2 linked regions of the Oreochromis niloticus genome follow. The protein of the gene in region 2 purifies or fractionates together with the protein of the main gene of each other region. This does not show direct contact. Links are inferred from orthologs where the notes say so. Each region holds a gene or a part of one and is shown on either strand. Other genes may lie near its edges.

Region 1 (11,233 bases), on a different chromosome or scaffold from region 2:
CCAGCTTCTCCAGGCTGAGCGTCGTCTTCCTGTTAGCACAGACATAAACATACAGTCAGGTTCAGGTCTTTAACAATTATCAAACACACACAATCATCAGTTATGTCCATTTTACTTGTTTATTGCTATTAGTATTAAATTAAAGTAAAATTAAATTAAAAATGGGTCTTCCTTCCTTAACTTTGCTGATAGCTCGATCCTGGATTTGAGTAATTTTTAGTACAACATGTTTATCTTGTAAATTATGGTTATTCTGAGAATCGAAAAGGTGGCTCAACATTATCTTGGTCAATCATAAGTGGTCAGCCAATGAGTGTTAAGTTTCACAAACAGATGACAGTGGTAAACACACATAGCAGGACTCGTCAACTCCAAACACTGATGTCAAATATGAGGCCAGTTAAATTCAGTGCAACGCTTCAATTAACTTAATTTGCTCTAAACAAAACAAACTGGTGTAAACTCTCTGATGTGGCATTTTGACCCAAGCTGAGCTGGTTTAAAAACAACACGGCAGGGTTACATAAGAGCAAAGTTTTGTTGCCAACAGCAGAAAACAAGTGTTATCAGTGCACTTCAATCAGACACTGCCTGTTGCCCCACATAACAAGACTTTGTGCCAATCGAAACACTGTCGTCCAGACTTTTGAACCCAATCCAGAATCGTCAAGCTTCCAAACATCAACTGTAATGGATCATCTATTTGCAGACACAAATTTGAACACATAACCTCGTGTTCGTAGGGGCCTCACCTATCGGTGCAGTGTGATAGCGCGATCTGGTGGTACAGGTGCAGAAAGGTTAAGGCGGTGACGGCTTTGGACTTGAAGTTGAGCTTCTCAGTGACAATCTTCTCCATGCGGGCGAGGTCGGACACGGTGAACCGGCACTGTCCGATGCGGATGAGCTCGTCGGTGGGTGTCAGGTTGCACTCCTTCTCCGTCACTTTGGCTGCCATATGGAGGCAGCTGAGGCTGATGCAGGACAGGTGCTTGGGCTGGATCTGATGGTAGGAGAGACGACAATTAAGTAAAGAAACCTCTGAAGCTAAAGTGTGCTGCGTCTGCTCTTAGCAGGTGTAAAAGTCTCATACCTTCATCATGGCGAGAAATCTGTCCAGCAGGTTAACAGCCAGGACGAACGTCTGCGTGCTGTAACCAAAGAAGCTGGTCAGACTCCACAGATCCTCCACTTTGGCATCCCTGCACTTGGCCGAGATCCGACTGTCACCCTGGAGAATAAAGACACGCTGTTGGTTAATTTCACCGTTATTAAGAAGCCTGTTAGCGATGCTTAGATCAACAGGTGCCTACTGGCGCTGTGGATTCAATGGCGCGGAGTCCCGTCACTTTGGGGAGATAATGCACTTCCTGCTCACAATTCACCCTCAGCTCCTTCATCAGCTTGAAGGCATCCATGTCTCAGCTGGGACTGCAGGAAGTGATCCGTCTTTTTTAAAACACAGTACCGACACTGCAAGGAAAGAAAAGTCACAAAGTTTAGTTTTTATGCTGCAACCTTAAACATCGTCGGGATTTATGTGATCAGTAAGAAAAGGCAGACCCGCAGCCTTTGTTGTCAGCTTGTGCTCCTCGGCGGCAACAAGAATGTCATAGTTCAAATAATTGCAAATCGCAACTGAAACTAAAAGCATTTTTGTAATACAGATACTTAACAGGATTTCTGCAAACTCTCCATCACAATGTAGAGCAGAGCAGAAGTTTGGAGTTTCCCCTGAGGTGAGTTTGTTATGACATTTTACAGTGTTATGAAATTCACTTCTAACCAGAATTCCTCTGATTTCTTCTTAAACCTGCTTTTCTCTGTTTTGTTTGTTTAAAAAAAAGAAGGTGATTTTTAATCACACTCATGCCTCTAACTATTGAATGATACAAATCTAGATTATATTTTTAAATCCGGTTTGCACCCTGGCAGCCACCTGATTTACCTGCTGCCTTATCTGGCAGGTTATTCAAAGTCACCAGACTCACAAACTTCTTTCCACACGGACATTTGGACTCAGCCCAAACAAGCAAAATCAACAGAGCCTCCGAGCAGTTTTACATTTTACAGCATCACCACTCTCATGCAACAATTAGCTCTTTTCTGTACCTCCACCTCACAACTTCCTCATGATTCATTTGTTTGCACTGTTAAAAGTGAGCTTTATTTTAGTTTTGTTCCATATTTAGCATTTTACTTAACTTTTTGCTACATTTTAGAGATTTTTGCCATTTAGCAGGGGGTTTATTCACTGCATTCAAACATCTGTAGGTTACCCACCCAAAAAGGGTTTAACCTTTCCTGACATAAAAGTCTCTGTGATCATAAGAAAATATTTTTGAACCTTTTTGCTGCATGAATAGACTTGTCGTGAGTATGGCAACAAACTCACTGCCTCAACCATATACGGAGGAGAGCTGCTAATGAACACATCCCCTCCCCCAAAAACCACATTCCCACCAAGAAAACCATGTTAAGCTAAATTCTATTTAATTTCTATTTGAGTAATTATGGGGAACATTCTGTTTTTACTTATTATCCTCTGTTAATCTGTTGTTTTGTCGTGTTGCTTGTTCCGTTTTATCAACTTTTTGGGAAAAAATAAAATCTTGTTTTGTTGTATTTCTCACAGAACAAAAACAATAAACGCTTTCTAGTCTCTTTTATTGTAGACGCCTGTGTGTATCATGAGAATAATGTGAATGAAGAGGACACATTTGAGGTGAAGTCTTTGGAATCGTGTAAGATAATCTGTATCCAGGTTGAGGATCTAAGTTAATCACTCGGTCCTCTCGTGTCTAAACTGCTACACTGTTACTGTGTTGTGACATGACTTTACATTTTCGGGTACATTGTTGCTAAACTGTTACGTGACTGGCGTGCACTCTCAGTCTGGGGGTCAGAGCCCAGGGCCCGGCCCACTTCCCTCAGCTGGGCTTCGGTGTCAGATTTCCGCTGGTCTACGCCTTCTCGATCCCCTGACCGAAAAACAAGTACCCCTTTTTCCTGTTATGACTGTAAATTAACGACCTAAAATACAGATTAAGTTGCCCCACACGTCTAAAAACACTATTTTTATCTTTTGGTTTTGTTTTTTGAATTTTTGTAGTTGATGTGGACGGTTAGCCTCCGCTAGCTAATGGTTTAAATCCTCTGTAGTCGGAGCGGGGGGAGGGGCTGCCGTTTAAAAATGATGAAATATCTTAACTATTTTACTACGGAAACACGATTACCCACACAGATGCTTAATAACTGAGAATTAGAGCAGAGTTGATTAACAAACCGATTATATGTCATTGCAGTGGTTTATAAAAGTGAGTTTAATCGAGCTTAAAAAGAGGAAAACGGGTCCAGAGGATACCAGCTACAACAGCAAAGAGAAGCCTCTATGCTGTACGTGCAAACTAATGCAAAAATATCAAATATAAGGAAAAACACACCTTAAATGCTTTTAATCTAATGTCAGAACTATAAAATTCACCTATGTCCTATTTTTAAGCGCTTCTGGGCGAGTTCCTGTCGGCAGTTACTAATGAAAAACCTTCAAAAACAAAAAAATGACACTTTACTCGCTCAAGTGAACTCTCTGAGTAAAATAAATACAGCTGTGATGTATTTTAAAGGTTTACTCTACCTGTTTCTGTGAGTTAGATCCACATATCTGTCCTGCTGTGGCTTATTTTTCTTCTGCTCTTCTTTCGTCTTTCTCTTTTTCTGTCCTTTGTTGATGTTGAGTAAGCTCACGCCTACTTCTCGACGTCACCCGGCCACAACCAATCAGACGCATCGCTTTACGAACAGCTGTCCCCTTTTCATGCTGTTAAAGGCACAAATTGCAGCTCGATTCTGGTGTTTTTGTAACACCGTAACAGCATTTTTACCATATTCACACCGGAGATCGATAACCCAGCTTCAATCTACAGATACAGCTCGGAGAAACTGAAACACAGCGTTTGGATCGCGAGAAACAAGCCCACCTTGAGTAACATTACCGTGAGCCAATCAGCAAACCGGAGTTCGATACGTTCAAATAGTCCGCCCAAAATCTAATGTTTTGATTGGATCGTGCCCGCACAGAGACCTGACGCAATCATGGCATTACGTAGTGCCTTTTTTGGACAGTTTTTTTATTCATTGTCTGTGTCAGACGTGAAACAACATGTCTGTAAATGGTTAAACCTCAATTCCACTTTAAACAAACATACCAGTGTTTTCTATATACTCTAAGATCTTTCACATGTGATAAAGATATTTGTATTAAATGAGAATTCAACACAAAAGTGATTAAATTCAAAAATATTGTGGCAAGCCCGTGCAAGTTTATAAAAACAAGTGGAATGAGAGATTCTACACCTGGGTTCATGTAACGTCACAATGAACCAGAATGAGAATATCTTCTGATATGTTGAGCAAAGGTCTGGAGTTATTTGGTTAGTTGTTTTAAGACCCCAGTCTAAATTAATGGGTATAGACTAAAATTCCAATTTAACATGAAACATGAAAACACCATGTATAGAATCAGATCACATAACACTAAAGTAAGGCGTTATAAGCTTTAAGTCTCTCATATGTTTTTAACTATGGTTTTGTTGAATTATAACCTTCGCAATGAAACACAGAAGAACTTCAAGAATAAAAATATTAAATATGAGAGTTCATGATTTTACTTTTATGCAACTTTGGGTGGGGACACCAGCCAGGGTTTGCTGGAAAGGTGTGACTGCTGAATCCATTGATAGGCAAATATCAGTGGGTACTGGAATATCTAAATATGCACTAATTTACATACATTTCCATTAGATAATGTGTAAATGAATATTTATTTTAGACCACATTTTAGGAGCTTTTCTTTCCTCTTGCCTGAGAGAAGACAGTTTAAGCAAAGAAAGAAAAATATATTTGAAAAAAACCCTCAGAAGCCAAAAAAAAGTAGTTTGTTTGCAGTTTCCTGCCAGAAAGGTGCATTAAAATTTCATTTAACTGTCATAAGATTGTTAGTCAGACCACTAATGATGTCAGTACTTCTGTCTAGCTGTCTGTGTCACTGATAATGTGCGTTGTCATATTGTAAGGCAGAAATCAACCCTTACGTCAGCATTTACTTTGGAGCTGCTTTTGAGGAACCACCACTTCCCACACGCTGATAGGAAAACACAACATAAATCCCTGCCATACATCATACTCCATGATGAACTCCACATTCAGCACACTGATCAGTACGTTTTGGTTACACTGGCCCACAGAAGATTACCAGAGAAAGACCCAGCTTTTTCTTTTGTTTTTAACCACATAATGGAGTCTTTCCTGGGACAAATGCTTGTACACTCCCACAGAAACATCCAGAAAGAAGCTTTGTGTTAATTCTGTTCTCTTAAACAGAATCTGTGACGAGCTAAGATTTGACACAACTCTGTTTTTATTCAACTGTCATCCTTTCTAGCCCTTTCAGTCGGGTTTCGGTCCTTTCACAAACGATATTGTAAGTGGTGCCGATTCTGGTGGTTGTTCTGCTTTTGTTCTGCTGGACTTGAAAGCTGCTTTTGATACTGCAGGAGTCAAAGGTTTGCCTCTTAACTAATTTGAGTGTTACATCTAGAATTATACAAGGGTCTGTCTTGGGGCCTGTTCTTTTTTCTTTGTATATGCTCTCTCTACCTCCAGTTATTTGTCAACATAACCTCTCGAGTCATTGCCATGCAGATCATTTACAGTTGCATTTAGCTGTGAATCTTAGAAATCACTGTTCTGTAAGAAAGTGCATTTTCAATATATATTTAAAAAAACAAACATTTTTTGGCAGGTTATATTGTTTGTCCCTTGACTATTTAATGAGGGGTTAACAGATAAACTGTACCTTTTAACTACTTTTGTTACAACACATACTAAAATCGTTTTGTTAAATGTAATTTTGTTATTATTTTTTTAATAGAAAAGAGTTATGTTTACTTTATTTACTTTATTGCACTGTACACTAAAGTTAATCAATCATCTGTTGCTAGTCTATTAATAGTGCAAAATGCTGCAGCCAGATTACTGACTGGGACAAAAAAGAGAGATGACATTACTCCAGTGTCAGCAGCCTTGCACTGGCTCCCTGTGCAGTATAAAGTGGTACTGTTTGTGGTTTTAAACAGGGTTGCACCTACATATGTAGAAGCTATGCTGAATCCATCTCACAGTTGATCTTAGACAAGCATCAGATGTGACTTTAAATCTACGCTGAAGACACCTTTTATTTGTGTGACTTTCTGTAAAGAGTGTAAACGTGATTTTTTTACGTTTTACTTTTAATACATTTTAATTTGTATTGTAAAACTATTAAAAAAAAAATTGCTATATAAATAAAACGCACTTACTATTTGTATAAGGAATAAAATAAAGTGAAGGATGTGAAATTCTTCAGAGAAGATGGTCTTGAGTACAGTAGGTTCACTGTAAACTGTTAAACAAACTCCCCCTGAAGGTACATACATGACCGTGACCCTCTGCTGAAGGTTTGATTGTTTTGCATTCCCGTTCAGCGTGGAGGTGGGCGGAGACTTTGTGTTTCGCTCTTCCCCCCGAGTCCCCTCCTCGGAAGTAGACGTATCAGTCTATATTCCGTTCTTTTATTTTTATATATTTTATATACAACAACCCCCTTTTATCCCGAATAACGATGGACGACTAAAGTGAAGTGCGGGTACCCGTTTTCACCCTTTTCTCTCGTCCTTGAACCGAGTGGACCGGATGAAACCCAACTGTGGTCTTCTCCGCTTCGCAGGGGAGGTAAGGCTCCAGGCTCCGGGCTCCGGCTACTTACTGGGTCTGACTCAGCCATTTAAATGTCCCTGCTGTGTTATTAACGCAGTCTGGAGACTCTTGTACGCACCACAGCCTTTTTTTTGTTTCACAACAGTGGAGAGCAGTGAGCAACATTTTCAGCGATGTTTGTGTTTTTAAACAAGAGCGGATATACATGTAATCGCATGTTACGTCAGCTAGCGAACAGCTAGCCACGTCAGATTAGCTCAGCTCCAGAAGATAGCCGGATTCGGGGTTATATCATAAGGAAATGGTCGGTAATACACCTGCTCTTGAAGCCTCGGTGCTTCCCAAAGTGAAAGGGACTTCCCGGTTGGATATTCACGGTAGTTTCCCGATAAAAGGAGAAATTGTTTGATTTTAGTTTGTCATAGATTAGACGATGACTGATGTGATTACGGTTAGCTAGGCTAGGTTCAAAGCTAACGTTTCAGATCAATGAGGTCACAAAGTTTAAGCATCTCCAGGAGCTTCAGTACCCCCAAATAAATACCCACGGCCTTACAGGAAATGTAGGGTTAGAACGTTTATATTTTCGGAGGGTTAAACAATACATTTACATAAAAAATGTTCTCCATTTTTGAGAGATTATAATGGTAAATTTACAGGAAAATTGTATTTTTTCTGAGGGTAAAAAATGTACATAGATTAAAGCTGTAAATTTGCAGGGGAAAAAAAGGATATAAAATTAATAAAATGACAAAAAAAATGACGTGTAGTTTGAAATGACATTAGTATTAGTACAGGTGGAAAACGGAACCTTTTTAGAGATTGAATGCTAAAATTATATATTTTTTTTTAACGCAGAGATTAAAATGAGCCATAATAAAGAGATTGTGTATATTTTCAGAGATAAAAATGGTACATTTACAGAAAACGATTATCTTGATAAATTGCAGGAAAAATTAAAGTCTTTAGAAGTTACAGTGACAAAAGTACAGTGAAAATAATAAATTTTAGAGATTCCAGTGGTAAATTTACAGTATATTTTCTGGGATTAGTCAAATGACAGGGGGGGAAATGTCTAATGTATTTAGAGATTAAAGTGATAAAATTACACATACAAAATTCAAACATTTGAAAATTTTTTTTTTAATTCTATGGATGTAACCAACAATATTATTAAGTCGCCTATGGGCATTTGACATCAGCTGTTTTCTTTTTTTTGTTTTTAATTTATTGTTATGACCATTAATAATGCTAATGTTATAATAATAATCTGTTTCTGAATCCATTAAAATGGTGTACATATAAAAGAGGGACATTTAGGACAGCTGCAGGGAACAAGACACACATTTAGTAAGAAATAAGTGACGCAAGACAGAAGTGGAATATAATCATCAGCTCCTCAGGGTTCAATTTATTAAATTTTGAAGGAGCCACAAGCCTAGACGGCGGATTCATGACTGTGTTTGCCACTTTCAGTAAAAATTGTCACTTCTTTGTTATTTTTAATCCCTCACTGAAAAATAAAGACGTATGCTTTGGAAAACCAGATTTTTGTTCCTTAAAAATGATCCCTTAAACGTGGTTTTGTGAGTATAAAAGCACTGGTGCAGTCCTTCTTGGTGGCAATGTTCTAATATCCTGCCCCTCCAATTGTACAGGTAGCTGTATCCAGTGGGGAGGTAGGCTCAGCCCAGGGAGGACACGATGAAGTTCACCGAACCCTGGGGACGCCAGAGGTTGTCTTTTCTTTTGGAAAAGGCCGCCTCTAGGGAAGCCAAGATGTGGAAGGTCTACGTGCCAAAGAAGCCTTCCTCACAGGTGAGACGCTTCCTCGAGTCACCCTTGTTTATGTAACTGATGTATTCACATAGGTAATTATTATGATTTGACATGGAAACACCGGTGTGGGAATTGCACTACAGCAAATTTATATGTAAAAGTATGTTTCCCTTTAGAGGTGGTGCTGTTGGTAGTTAAAGCAGAATGATGAGAATTATTGTTGGCTCGTCTATTCGATGCTTTTTAGCTTGGAATTCATGAACTATTTTCACTTTATACATCAGAAAATTCAATAAGCTATATTTTTCTCACATAGTTATGAGAGGTATTTGTAGATAGTGAAGCTGAGATAATAAACATTGGAAATACTGGAAAAATCTGTTGTTTGCTTCATTGTTTGGCTGGGATTCTCGGTTCTTGGCCAGCCTTTCCCAGCTTCTCTCATGCTGTGCAACAAATAAATTGTTAGTACCATGCAGCAAGAGAAGACCATGAGTGAGTGGGGCTCACAGATATACAGAGTGGAAGAGTAACCACAAATCTGTGCATACTAAGGCAAACGTGTATAGCTACATCTCAGCTGATTAAAAGAAAAAAAAAAAGTGTTTCTTCTTTAAAAGACAGATTACTTCTAAATAGTGTGACTGCAAGCTTTTGGTCCACTGGAATTTTTTTTTTGTACATACGCTGAGAACCTTGTTTTAATCTTCAGTCAGTTTTAATGTGAACAACCACCACTGGAACAAGAGATATATAGCAAAAATAATCAAAGTAAATATCCAACTGCCTCCAAGAACTGTGGATGTTTGTGATCTGCTCTTTGCCTTTTTATCTCAGTAACCCACCTGATTAGCACATTTTCTTTTATTCTGGGACCTCCTGATTCACAAATGCAGTGTGAAATGACACAATTTTCCCACATGCAGCAGGCGAACTGTAAGTGAGGCGCGCAGATAGAGAGGGAGAAACTTAAGGATGCAGGTAAATGACAAAGAGAAACTAGTATGTGTATCCGTAAATCCATTCATCCTAAAGGAAACAAAGAGGTGAATGTTTTACAGGCTGCCTAAATGGTTCTTTAGTGAGCTTTACTGCCACAAGGCCTCAGCCCTTACTGGCCATCTTATGTAATCTTTTGCACAGGCTTGGGTTTCCATCTACACACTGAAACATAGAGCCAAGAATTTAAGACGAGGCTACTGAAAGGAGCTGGCACCAGTTCAATAAATAGAGGTGCAGGCCAAGGGGTCAGCACTGAAAGGTCTTTAAATGTCAGCACTGAAATATTGGACAAATAATACCGGACAGGTTTAATGTGTTAGGCGACTGAAAGTTCACATTTTCAGAGACGACACAGGTCCAACAAAACTGACTTGATTTCTGTTGATTATCTAATGATTGTCATTCTTTTTATGGCTCTTGAATGGTGCCATATCAGCATGTTGATAATGGAGTTGCAGGGAGTAGTCTGCTCCCAGACATTACCATAGACAGACACCGTGTAATCACAAAGCAGCAGGGCAGAAGAAACATGGCGTTGAGTCACTGAACAGTCACTCGGCTCAGCTGGTCTCGCCCCGTTTACTGGGAACGTCTCGACATGTCGTTATTTGACGTCACAGAGGTGTCGTTTCATCACACCCTCGGGTGGTCTCGCCCAGTGTACGTGCACGTTCTCACATGATGTCACTTACCTGTGAAATTCTTTATATTATGTCTTAACCAAGAAGGTTATTAGCAAAGGATATTGCACAGTTTATCAGATGGTCAAAAATAAGAAAATGTTTAGAAAATGGAGATTTAGTTTTTAGTCAAGAATAACCCTCCTACATGCCTTTATAACATGAGCTATAACTAGTTTAGTTCAATTTAGATATATTTTTTTGTATTTCCTCTCCTCTCTAAGCCCAATTTAAGCTTAGCATTAGTGTCAGCTTAGTCTTGTTTAGCTAAATATTAGACATATGTCTCTAGCAACTAATTCAGGTATGTTCTTCAAAAACACGTTATCTAGTTAGTGAAATAGGATTGGTTATTCAAACAAGCAGCATGAACCTTGTGCTGGGTTGACAGGTTCAGGTGACCTTTTTCCTCTGTCTCAGGTCATGACCTGGGTCAGTAATCCTTGTGTGGTGCTGTGGTGGATTTTGATTCCTTACTAACATATTTTTCAGTGCAGCGATCGTCCCGTCACGTGTCTCAGTTGTTGTGTTTTCCAGCTGGTGGAGGTTTTTGTTGTTGTTGAAGGTGGTGGTGTTCTCTCAGGTATCACCCTGTTTGTTAAATACAGAAGGTTTTGTCTTTTTTGTCTGCTGAGTGTTGATACCATTGTCCAAATACACCCAGAGAGCAATGCAGGGGTAGTCATGATAACACACATAACATCACCTGCATTAGGTGACTCAGGTGTTTTTATGGTCCCATGGTTACGTGCGCTGCAGCAGGCACACGTCATGGCCAGAAGTATTCAGATTAGAGCTGAAGTACCTATTTATTTATATAGCATATTGAAAAACAATTTAACAGTCTATGTATGCGAGAATACAAAGACTAGGGTATATGAGAGAAGCGCAGAACACAATAAACATGAAACATCCTTTTTATCGTTTAGTTTGTGGCAAACAAAAGGATAAAATAGAACTTTTCTACTGAAAGTTTGCAGTTCAGATTCACCTACTGCTTCATCAACAAGGAGTTC
Region 2 (10,317 bases):
GCAAGGTAGCAAAGGCGACAGGGGTGGCAGATGAAGCACTTGGTAATGTGCGCACTGTAAAAGCTTTTGCGATGGAGGAACGAGAGCTCCAGTAAGTGAGAGAATATTTTTGATATACAGGGTGGGCCATTTATATGGATACACCGTAATAAAATGGGAATGGTTGGTGATATTAAAGTCCTGTTTGTGGCACATTAGTATATGTGAGGGGGCAAACTCCTCAAGATGGGTGGTGACCATGGTGGCCATTTAAAAGTCGGCCATCTTGAATACAACTTTTGTTTTTTCAATAGGAAGAGGGTCATGTGACACATCAAACTTATTGATAATGTCACAAGAAAAACAATGGTGTGCTTGGTTTCAACGTAACTTTATTCTTTCATGAGTTATTTACAAGTTTCTGACCACTTATAACATGTGTTCAATGTGCTGCCCATTGTGTTGGATTGTCAATGCAACCCTCTTCTCCCACTCTTCACACACTGATAGCAACACCGCAGGAGAAATGCCAGCACAGGCATCCAGTATCCTTAGTTTCAGGTGCTGCACATCTCGTATCTTCACACCATAGACAATTGCCTTCAGATGACCCCAAAGATAAAAGTCTAAGGGGGTCAGATCGGGAGACCTTGGGGGCCATTCAACTGGCCCACGACGACCAATCCGCTTTCCAGGAAACTGTTCATCTAGGAATGCTCGGACCTGGCACCCATAATGTGGTGGTGCACCATCTTGCTGGAAAAACTCAGGGAACGTGCCAGCTTCAGTGTATAAAGAGGGAAACACATCATCATGTAACAATTTCAAATATCCAGTGGCCTTGAGGTTTCCATTGATGAAGAATGGACCCACTATCGTTGTACCCCATATACCACACAAAACCATCACTTTTGTTGTTCCAACAGTCTTGGAGGGATCCATCCAATGTGGGTTAGTGTCAGACCAATAGCGGTGGTTTTGTTTGTTAACTTCACCATTCACATAAAAGTTTGCCTCATCACTGAACAAAATCTTCTGCGTGAACTGAGGGTCCTGTTCCAGTTTTTGTTTTGCCCATTCTGCAAATTCTGTGCGCCGATCTGGGTCATCCTCGTTGAGATGCTGCAGTAGCTGGAGTTTGTAAGGGTGCCATTTGTGAGTAGCTAATATCCGCCGAAGGGATGTTAGACTAATGCTACTCTCCAGTGACATGCAGTGAGTGCTACGCTGTGGGCTCTTGCTGAATGAAGCTAGGACAGCCACTGATGTTTCTTCATTAGTGACAGTTTTCTTGCGTCCACATTTTGGCAAATCCAACACTGAACCAGTTTCACGAAACTTAGCAAGCAGTTTGCTAACTGTAGCATGGGAGATGGGTGGTCTCGTAGGGTGTCTTGCATTGAAATCTGCTGCAATGACCTGGTTACTGCGTTCACCAGATGTCAACACAATTTCGATCCGCTCCTCACATGTTAACCTTTTCAACATGTCAATGGCTGTGAACAAAGAGAAACTTGTAAATAACTCATGAAAGAATAAAGTTACGTTGAAACCAAGCACACCATTGTTTTTCTTGTGACATTACCAATAAGTTTGATGTGTCACATGACCCTCTTCCTATTGAAAAAACAAAAGTTGTATCCAAGATGGCCGACTTCTAAATGGCCACCATGGTCACCACCCATCTTGAGGAGTTTGCCCCCTCACATATACTAATGTGCCACAAACAGGACTTTAATATCACCAACCATTCCCATTTTATTACGGTGTATCCATATAAATGGCCCACCCTGTACTTCTACCCTTTGTACTTTCAGAAAAGCACTAAATCTATGACAGAGATACAATGTTTTGATTTCCATAATGTTTTTACACAGGTTATATGCATATGAAGTTGACAAATCATGTGAAATGAATGAAAATCTTGGTACTGGGATTGCCATTTTCCAAGGGCTGTCAAACATTGCCCTGAACTGTGAGTGTGTTTTACATTGTTAATTAGTGGACACACTGTTAGCAGCCTGGTACTGCATCTCTTCTGTTATGCTAATGTTTTTGTGTCGTGTTAATACAGGCATTGTCCTTGGAACTATTTTTGCTGGAGGAACTTTAATTTCAAGCAATGAAATGTCTCCTGGAGACCTAATGTCTTTCTTGGTTGCTTCTCAGACCGTTCAGAGGTAAAAACACACAACCTGCTCCACGATGATTTCTCTTTTACAATTAAATGTATTCTTTCAAAAGTAGTTAATTACAAGTCATGCATTCATTTTATGCTCAGGTCTTTGGCCAGTATCTCCATACTTTTCGGTCAAGTAAGTAAAAACTACGATTATCTGACTGCCAACCAGATTTGAAACTAGAGTATTATAATATGTGAACAATTCCAAATGCCTCAAATATTTTGCTGGCAATCTCTAACATTTGCTGCAGGTGGTGAGAGGAATAAGCTCTGGGGCTCGGGTTTTTGAATACCTTGCTTTGCAGCCCACTATCCCCCTCTCTGGAGGAGGACGTATTCCTTACCATTCACTCACAGGAAGAGTGGACTTCATGAACGTCTCGTTCAGGTTAAAATCCTCCTAATTCAGCTCCAAATCAAATATAAGTTTAAAACTACAACTGAGCACAGACATAAAAGTGTGATTTGTGAATGATGTATTGTTTTCTATTGATATGTTTCCAGTTATCCAACAAGACCAGGCCATCAAGTCTTGAAGAGATTCAGTTTGACACTACCACCCTGTAAAACTGTCGCCATTGTTGGAGAATCTGGAGGAGGTAATTTCTGACGTTTCATTCAGTAACTGTGCGACATTCAAACAATATTGGGTCATCTCATAAATGTTTAACCCTGTAGGAAAGTCCACAGTTGCGTCCCTGCTGGAGCGTTTCTATGACCCTACCAGCGGTGTAGTCATGTTGGACGGCCTCGACATTCGAACACTTGACCTTTCCTGGCTCAGGAGCCAAGTTATCGGATTCATCAATCAGGTCAAGGCTGCTGATCATTTCATGATCAATTTTTAAAAAGTATTACTTCCTAACAATTTTCACTGCAACTTCCTTTTTTTCCTCTTTCTTCTTTCTTTTAGGAGCCAGTTTTGTTTGGATCATCCGTCATGGAGAACATCCGTTTTGGGAAGCCTGAGGCTACAGATGCTGAGGTCATTGATGCAGCAAAGCAAGCCAATGCTCACGGCTTCATCACGGGTTTCCCAGACGGCTATAACACCGTGGTTGGTATGTGCTCCCATTTGAGCTTTCACGACTGTTAAGAAACGGTGCCGCTTGTTAATTCTAAACTCCAGATCTTTAAACCCAGGTGAGCGTGGTGTGACATTATCAGGTGGACAGAAACAACGCATTGCCATTGCCCGCGCTTTGATCAAGAACCCCAGTATTCTGGTGCTGGACGAAGCCACAAGTGCTCTGGATGCAGAGTCAGAGCGAGTGGTGCAAGAGGCTCTGGACAGAGCCACAAGGGGTCGCACTGTGCTCATCATCGCCCACCGATTAAGCACCATTCAAGGGGCTGACCTGATCTGCGTGATGAGCAATGGTCGTATTGTGGAGGTGAGAAGGCTGAGTATTCAGGACATACTCTGACCTCCATTTAAATCCTCCAGCTAATTTACTCTAGCTTTTAATGTCAGAGATGTACTTAATAAAATTGAATTCTTTCAGTATTTAGTAATACGTATGGACATACTGGTAGCTTCCTTGTTGAGTTGATTGTGTTATATCAATTTTTATTATATCTAACACCTTTTTCCTTTTTGTTACAGGCTGGGACACATGTGGAACTGCTGAGCAAAGGAGGATATTATTCTGATCTCATCCGCAGGCAAAGAGCTGAGGGGCAAAAATGACCACACCCATATTTGTTTACAGTAGCTGTATAATACTGTATAATGGCGTTTATTTTGAAATGCATAGCAAGACATGTGTGGAAGATTAATTATTTAAAATGTACTGTAAATTTGCCATCTCTGTGACTAGTTTTATGAGAACTTACAAATGTGTATGAACAAATGGACCAATGTGGATCGGCCTGTGATGAACAAATTACACTACTGAATGCGCTGTTATTTCCAGTGTTGTTGATAGAATGATAGATAAATTGTAATGTGTTGGAAAAAATATTAAAATTACTTTTGATGAATTTAAAGTGTTTATTATCTGTTTGTGGATGACAATAAACCTTTCTTGTCATAAAATGTCTAAGAAACTCAACACAGACCCTTACTAGTGATCAGTACTGACATTATTCTAAAATTAAACTCTGGGGAAGGACTTGCTGTTTTGGCACCATTCTTCTTTGCCACCACATACATTTGTATATATAGTTTTACTATATCCAGGCCACATGTAAAAAAGAAACTTCACAGCCAGCACATATACCTTGTGCTCTTAACAAGCTAAAGTTAGGTCCATAGTTTGTTAGACAAAGACACTTTTTGTAGTTTTTTGTCTGTACACTATCACAGTGGATTTTACATCTGACTTAAAGGTTCAAGACATTTAACAAAAACTTCATTAACTATTTACTGTAGGAGTTACAGCCATTTTTATACATAGTGCCTCATTTTCAGAGGCTCAAGACTAGTTGGACAAACTAACAATTTTAAATATGAAGACATTGATACTTGTAGAAACTCTGGATCATTGTTTGCATCGTGACGCTCACTCTATTCAGTTTACTCTTCTGAACCTGAGCAGAGCATAGCCCTGCACACAATTCATCCTGCTAATTCTGTCAGCAATCACACTGTGTGGCCCATACCATGCCCATATTATAACATGTTATTATATGGGCATGATTATGAGCTTTTTCTTTTACTTAGCATTGTTCTGGTAAAGGTAATCTTGGTTTCTGTGACTAAAGAATCTATTGGCTCTTTAAGATGTTTTGTTGTTACACTCTGTTCTTGAATGTAAACTTATAGCATGTTGTAAACCCATGAATGTGTTTCTTGATTATAAACTTCGACAATAATACAGCAATTTCCTAAAGAGTGTTCTTAACTTGGTAAGATGTTGTGAAGTTGTTTTTCTTAATCATGAAAATAGTTTTGTCATCATCCACATTGGTTTTGCACTCACCCAGGCCTTTTGGTGTTGCTGAGCTGGCCATCCCATTCCTTATGTTTAATAATGAACCAGGTTATTGATTTGAAACACATTTTGGCATCTCTACAAGCTGCAAGCAGAGAGATGCCAAACTGTGTTTCATTGTTCTTGCATCAGTGACAATAAAGATCTATTCTATTCTATTCAATTGGCCTCCCCTAAAATTGATTTATTGTCCTTTTTAGCCTTACGATAGCCTTCTTCACTTGCACTAACATCTCTGAGTCTCATATTTTAAATTACAGCAAAAAGCTTTGAAATATAAACTCAAAACGTTTAATCAAGTGTGGATATTATGTCCTGTTCACTTATCATGACAGAACAGGCCTCACCTGGCTATGAAACTGCTTGTCAATCCATTGTCCAATTAATTTTAAGCCTCTGAAAATGGGTGACTATACAAAATGCTTGTAATTAAACAGTTAATGCAAAATGTGTATAAAACTAATTAATGTAATTCCTAAACAGTGAATGCAAAACGTTTGTAAAAACTCCTTTAATTAAAGCGGGAAATATGCAGCTTGATTTTGATTGCTTGATTTAAAATCCACTGCTGTGGTGGATAGAGGCAACACCAAAAAAATGTTCTTTTGTCCAAAAAATTAGGGATTGCAGCTGTATGTGCTGGCATATTCTTGTGTAATAATGAACAATAGCCATCAGTATTCAGCATAATGGGCTTGTTTGCTGACCACACCACAAAGGAGGTAAAATTTATATCACTTTAAAGTTGTGTTTACATCACTACACACATATATTAGGCCATATTGGAAGTCTGCTTAAGAAATTAACAGTCTCACAACTTCCTAGAACACATTTGCACTTTAAGATTACGTTAGTAATTATCGCCCCAGATAAGAGACATCACATCTCTACCATGTTCATATTATCACTTTGTCTGCAGCAACACCTCCCTGAATGAGCCATCTTTAATGAGCTTTTATGGCCATTATGGATTACTTTACTTTTGTACATAAACTTGCCTTTTACACGATTTTCTCAAATGATGTCTTTTAAGGACATGAGATTCTGCATTTTAAAATGTTCATTATAGCAGGTTAGTTTCAAGGTTGCTGTAATTCGTCTTTCAGCCTGTAGATGACAAACAAGACATGCTCGGCTGCAATCCGAAGAGCAGCAGCAATTGCAGACAGATTTAAGCTAACGCTAGCTACAATAACATTTTCTTTTCACCCCAATTTGGGGTGTTGTCATTCGTTGGTTTTTTAGCGTATTCAAGGCTGGCTTCACTGGCCAAACATGCAGAAATATGAAAAGCTTGAAAAAATCGGGGAGGGTAAGTCTCAGACTTTTGTTTTGGTTAATTTCGCAAGGTTAATATTAGTTAGCCTAGCACGCTAATGTAGCATTCATGCAGGTCGAAGGCTAAAGTTAGCTAATCTGTAAGCAATATGTATTCGTTAATGTATGCCCCAGTTAACCACATGGAAAAAATTGCGAGTTTTTACTCGCACTAGTATGTACTAGTAACAGTACCAGTCAGAAGAGTTCTGCCTTCCACTTTTACTATATTAGCGCTAGCTAACGGTGGGCATGTAGCGAGCTAATATTAGGACCCCTTAGCTGTGCCCATTCATCGGGATATGTGGTTTAAATAAATTTTGTCTGCTCCATAGGTACGTATGGGACCGTTTTTAAGGCAAAAAACAGAGAAACCCATGAAATTGTGGCTTTGAAAAGGGTCAGGTTGGACGACGACGACGAGGTTTGTTCTTTATAAAATGATATGAGAGTCACAGTGTTTGTTAGCTAGTAGTTAGCACGCTAGTACTAAATGGAAGCTGTTTGTTTTGTTTTTTTAAATTAAAAAAATCTTTTAGGGGGTGCCTAGTTCTGCTCTGAGAGAAATTTGTCTTCTGAAGGAACTGAAACATAAAAACATTGTCAGGTAAGTCTGACAGAAGAGCTGAATGCCTCCAGGTTACATGTAACCCTGATGTCAACAAACACCAACAGAATATTATTTTGCCTTTTTTAGACTACATGACGTTTTGCACAGTGATAAGAAGTTAACCTTGGTTTTTGAATACTGTGATCAGGTGAGTTGGTCACCTCTAAAACGCACTATATCTTAATATGTACCCCCTGAGCCTAATATGTGTCTCTTCTCTGCTGCAGGATTTGAAGAAGTATTTCGACAGCTGCAACGGGGATCTAGATCCTGAAACTGTGAAGGTGAGACATAAACATGAAGAGCATTTAAACTATGTAAACCTGCCTGCTTAAAAGCCTGTTTTATGCTTAAAATTTGAAATTAACTCCATATTGTTGATGCTGTTTGTTTTCCTGTACAGTCATTCATGTACCAGCTGTTGAAAGGCCTTGCTTTCTGTCACAGTCGAAATGTTCTTCATAGAGATCTGAAACCGCAGAATCTCCTCATCAACAGAGTGAGTGTTTAGGTGCATTTGGACTTGGTGGCTGATAAACATTCATTACTGTGTGGCCTCCATCAGTATACTATTTCTTTAAAGTTAAATCTAAGTGAGATGGACACTGGTTTTCTTTGTGAAAACAAACACCACTGAGTTTATCATTGAGATTCTGTGTAATGTCTTTTGTTTTGAAGTTCATTCATTTGAGCACTGCAGCTTATTAGTGTGTTAGTTTACCACGTGTGATACAGAGATTGCATTCACGGGGCGACGATGAAATAATAATATACATAATATAATTCAAAAGCAGTGGGATTTAGAATAAAGTTTAAAAAACATAGAGGTGTTAATATTGCCGTATTAACGTCAAAATTTTGTTGAGATTGACTCATTAGGGATGTGAGAATGTGGATACAGACATGTATCCATTTATATGCTTTGATAATTATAGTAAGAATTGTTTATCTGTCTGTAGAACGGCGAGCTGAAGCTGGCTGACTTTGGTTTGGCTCGAGCTTTTGGAATTCCTGTGAGGTGTTACTCAGCAGAGGTAGGTTATACATCATTAATGCAAAAGGTACTAACAGCTCACTGCTTTCAGCTAAAGACATGTGACCAGTGTGAAAAAGCATAATTTTTTGGCAACTGCTGTGTCTAAAGAGAGGACAACTTATTTTTAATGTTGTGCAAACTAATGGTGTAAGAATACTTTAAACTTGGCTTTCCAAGAAGTACTGGTATCCAAGATGTTAACAATCTTATGATGAATCATACTTTCTCAGTTTTTAAAACAAAACCACACTTCCTGAGTAAAATGCTTTGTTTGAGAAGTGCACTGACCTAATTACCTCAAGATCTAAATATAAAAGGAAGCCAGAATATAGCACAGTATTAACATCTAACCAGTAGATTCCCTTCAACTTTCTCAGTGTTTTATAGGTTTTTGAAATGTGCTTTTTTGTAGTCTCTCATGTGCACACAGTTAAAGGCCTCAATTTGTTTCTTTTATCTTCAAATTAATTTGTTTAATTAATGATGAAATGGAGTGAAGCATGTCTCAGTATGTGGGTGTTTGATTTTTGTTATTGCTGAAACTTTGAGAGAAATGACGCGCAAGGCTTACTTGAGGCCTGACAAGCGATTCTCATGGGGATTTTGACCCAGGTTGACGCTACTGATCTGAAAATGTAATAAACAGAAAATCTGGAGGAGACCTGAGTTTGAAGCATTGAGATTTTAAAATATCATTTACATTTGAGAGGATGTATTGCCCTGTGGCTTCCACAGTTGCTTCGTGTTATGTTGACATATTATATAATGTATATAGTATGAGCAGCTTAAAGGTAGTATAGGGGTTTTGTTTTTTTAATAAGTTTTTACTTTATCCACAATATTGTTCAGCTAATCCTAATAAAAGCCAGTTTGATCATATTTAGAGGCAAGGACTTAACAACACTGTACTTTTTTCAAATGAAATGCCGTCTTAGTTGAAAAACTTGAAGTCCTTTTCTAGCTGGAAGCTCTACAAATATGTTTTGTAAAAAGAAAAGTTAGTTTTGTTTTGTAGCAGGTAGTCACGTTTAGTAATTTACACATTTACTAAAGTGAACTTTTGCACTTTTTAAACTGAAGCATAGTCACTTGCAGTCAGCCCACACATTTGCTCTGAAAAGTGGAACTTTTCTATAATTGCATTTGATTTTCTTTTTTTTTTCCTTTTTTTTTTTTTTTACTCCTGCGGTGCCCTCCAGACGACTCATTTTCATAAGTCCTTGGAAAAATGAGGGTCTGACACAGCAGCAGCTTTTTAAAATGCCAGCAAGTTGTGGTGGAAAGCAGAGGGAGATTTAAATGTGCCATTCAGTATTAGTAACAGTGTTGCCAAAGTCATTTCCTTGTGAAACACACCAAATGTAAAACCCACCTCAGAGAGCCGTTATTATGCCCAACATTTATTTTACGATTAGTCTGGTTGTGATTATACATTTTGTTTTGATTTGTTTTTAGGTGGTGACATTGTGGTATCGGCCTCCGGACGTGCTGTTTGGAGCCAAACTTTACTCTACCTCTATCGACATGTGGTCTGCTGGATGCATATTTGCAGGTCTGTGTGTGTGGTTTGTGGAATCAAATGAGGATAAAACTAAATAAGTAATCCAATAATTCGGTGCTGGGTGGTAAGACCACAAATGTATCTTCTTTTAGGATTCTGGTAGTTTCATATTATATTACAGTATTATTAATATTTAAAGTATTACTTTTGAAGGTTCCAGTTCAGGTCACAGTGTGAGCAGGTGACCATAAGCTACAAAGCTAAATGCAGCAGCCTGGATTCAACTCCAACCCAAAGGCCTTTGAAGTCTATGCAGAAATAGTGTCATTGTCATTTGTACATATAAATAAACAGAATGTTTATATTGTACAATAAGAGGCTAATATGGATGGCTTGTTTTTGCCATTCATAAATAAAAATCAATATTTTAATGAGATAAAAATAAATAAAATAATTTATAGGAATGTAATAAAGCTCTTACTTTATCAATAAAGTAACAAAATAATTGAAGTAATACTATATACAAGTAATAAATGTGCAAACAAAGATTTAAGTTAAAGAGCTGCCGCTTGTCTTACCCTGCTCTCTCTCCCTGCTTTCTTTTCTAATCTTCTTTAAAGTCACTCAACATTTAAGTAAACAGTTATATTGTGTAGTGGTTGAGGCTAGGATCTTTAAAGGATAGTTAGTTGTTTTTTTGTGTTCGTGTTTTGAATGGTAACTCTTAATTTGATGCCATTTATTTAATTTTTTTCC

What was found. Proteins that work in one complex are often made in the same cells at the same time.
Region 1: the proteins of cdk5 (region 2) and ccni purify together in Homo sapiens (affinity purification with mass spectrometry; 3 studies listed by BioGRID and IntAct, with this or other methods). This does not show direct contact. The link is inferred for Oreochromis niloticus from reciprocal best matches to the Homo sapiens genes CDK5 and CCNI.

Annotation. Positions count from the first base shown.
Region 1 is NC_031972.2:33,325,106-33,336,338, forward strand, and holds the start of ccni (cyclin-I), read left to right. Parts: upstream 1-6,538; 5' UTR 6,539-6,771; intron 6,772-8,414; 5' UTR 8,415-8,460; coding exon 8,461-8,574; intron 8,575-11,233. Other genes in the region: ccng2 (cyclin-G2), read right to left, coding at 1-29, 753-1,003, 1,094-1,231, 1,314-1,418.
Region 2 is NC_031982.2:19,023,134-19,033,450, reverse strand, and holds the start of cdk5 (cyclin-dependent kinase 5), read left to right. Parts: upstream 1-6,062; 5' UTR 6,063-6,372; coding exon 6,373-6,409; intron 6,410-6,749; coding exon 6,750-6,838; intron 6,839-6,953; coding exon 6,954-7,021; intron 7,022-7,111; coding exon 7,112-7,172; intron 7,173-7,251; coding exon 7,252-7,308; intron 7,309-7,427; coding exon 7,428-7,523; intron 7,524-7,983; coding exon 7,984-8,058; intron 8,059-9,515; coding exon 9,516-9,612; intron 9,613-10,317. Other genes in the region: abcb8 (mitochondrial potassium channel ATP-binding subunit), read left to right, coding at 6-91, 1,857-1,954, 2,054-2,159, 2,261-2,294, 2,413-2,549, 2,666-2,760, 2,840-2,973, 3,075-3,222 and 2 more. UniProt on the Homo sapiens protein: Proline-directed serine/threonine-protein kinase essential for neuronal cell cycle arrest and differentiation and may be involved in apoptotic cell death in neuronal diseases by triggering abortive cell cycle re-entry. Interacts with D1 and D3-type G1 cyclins.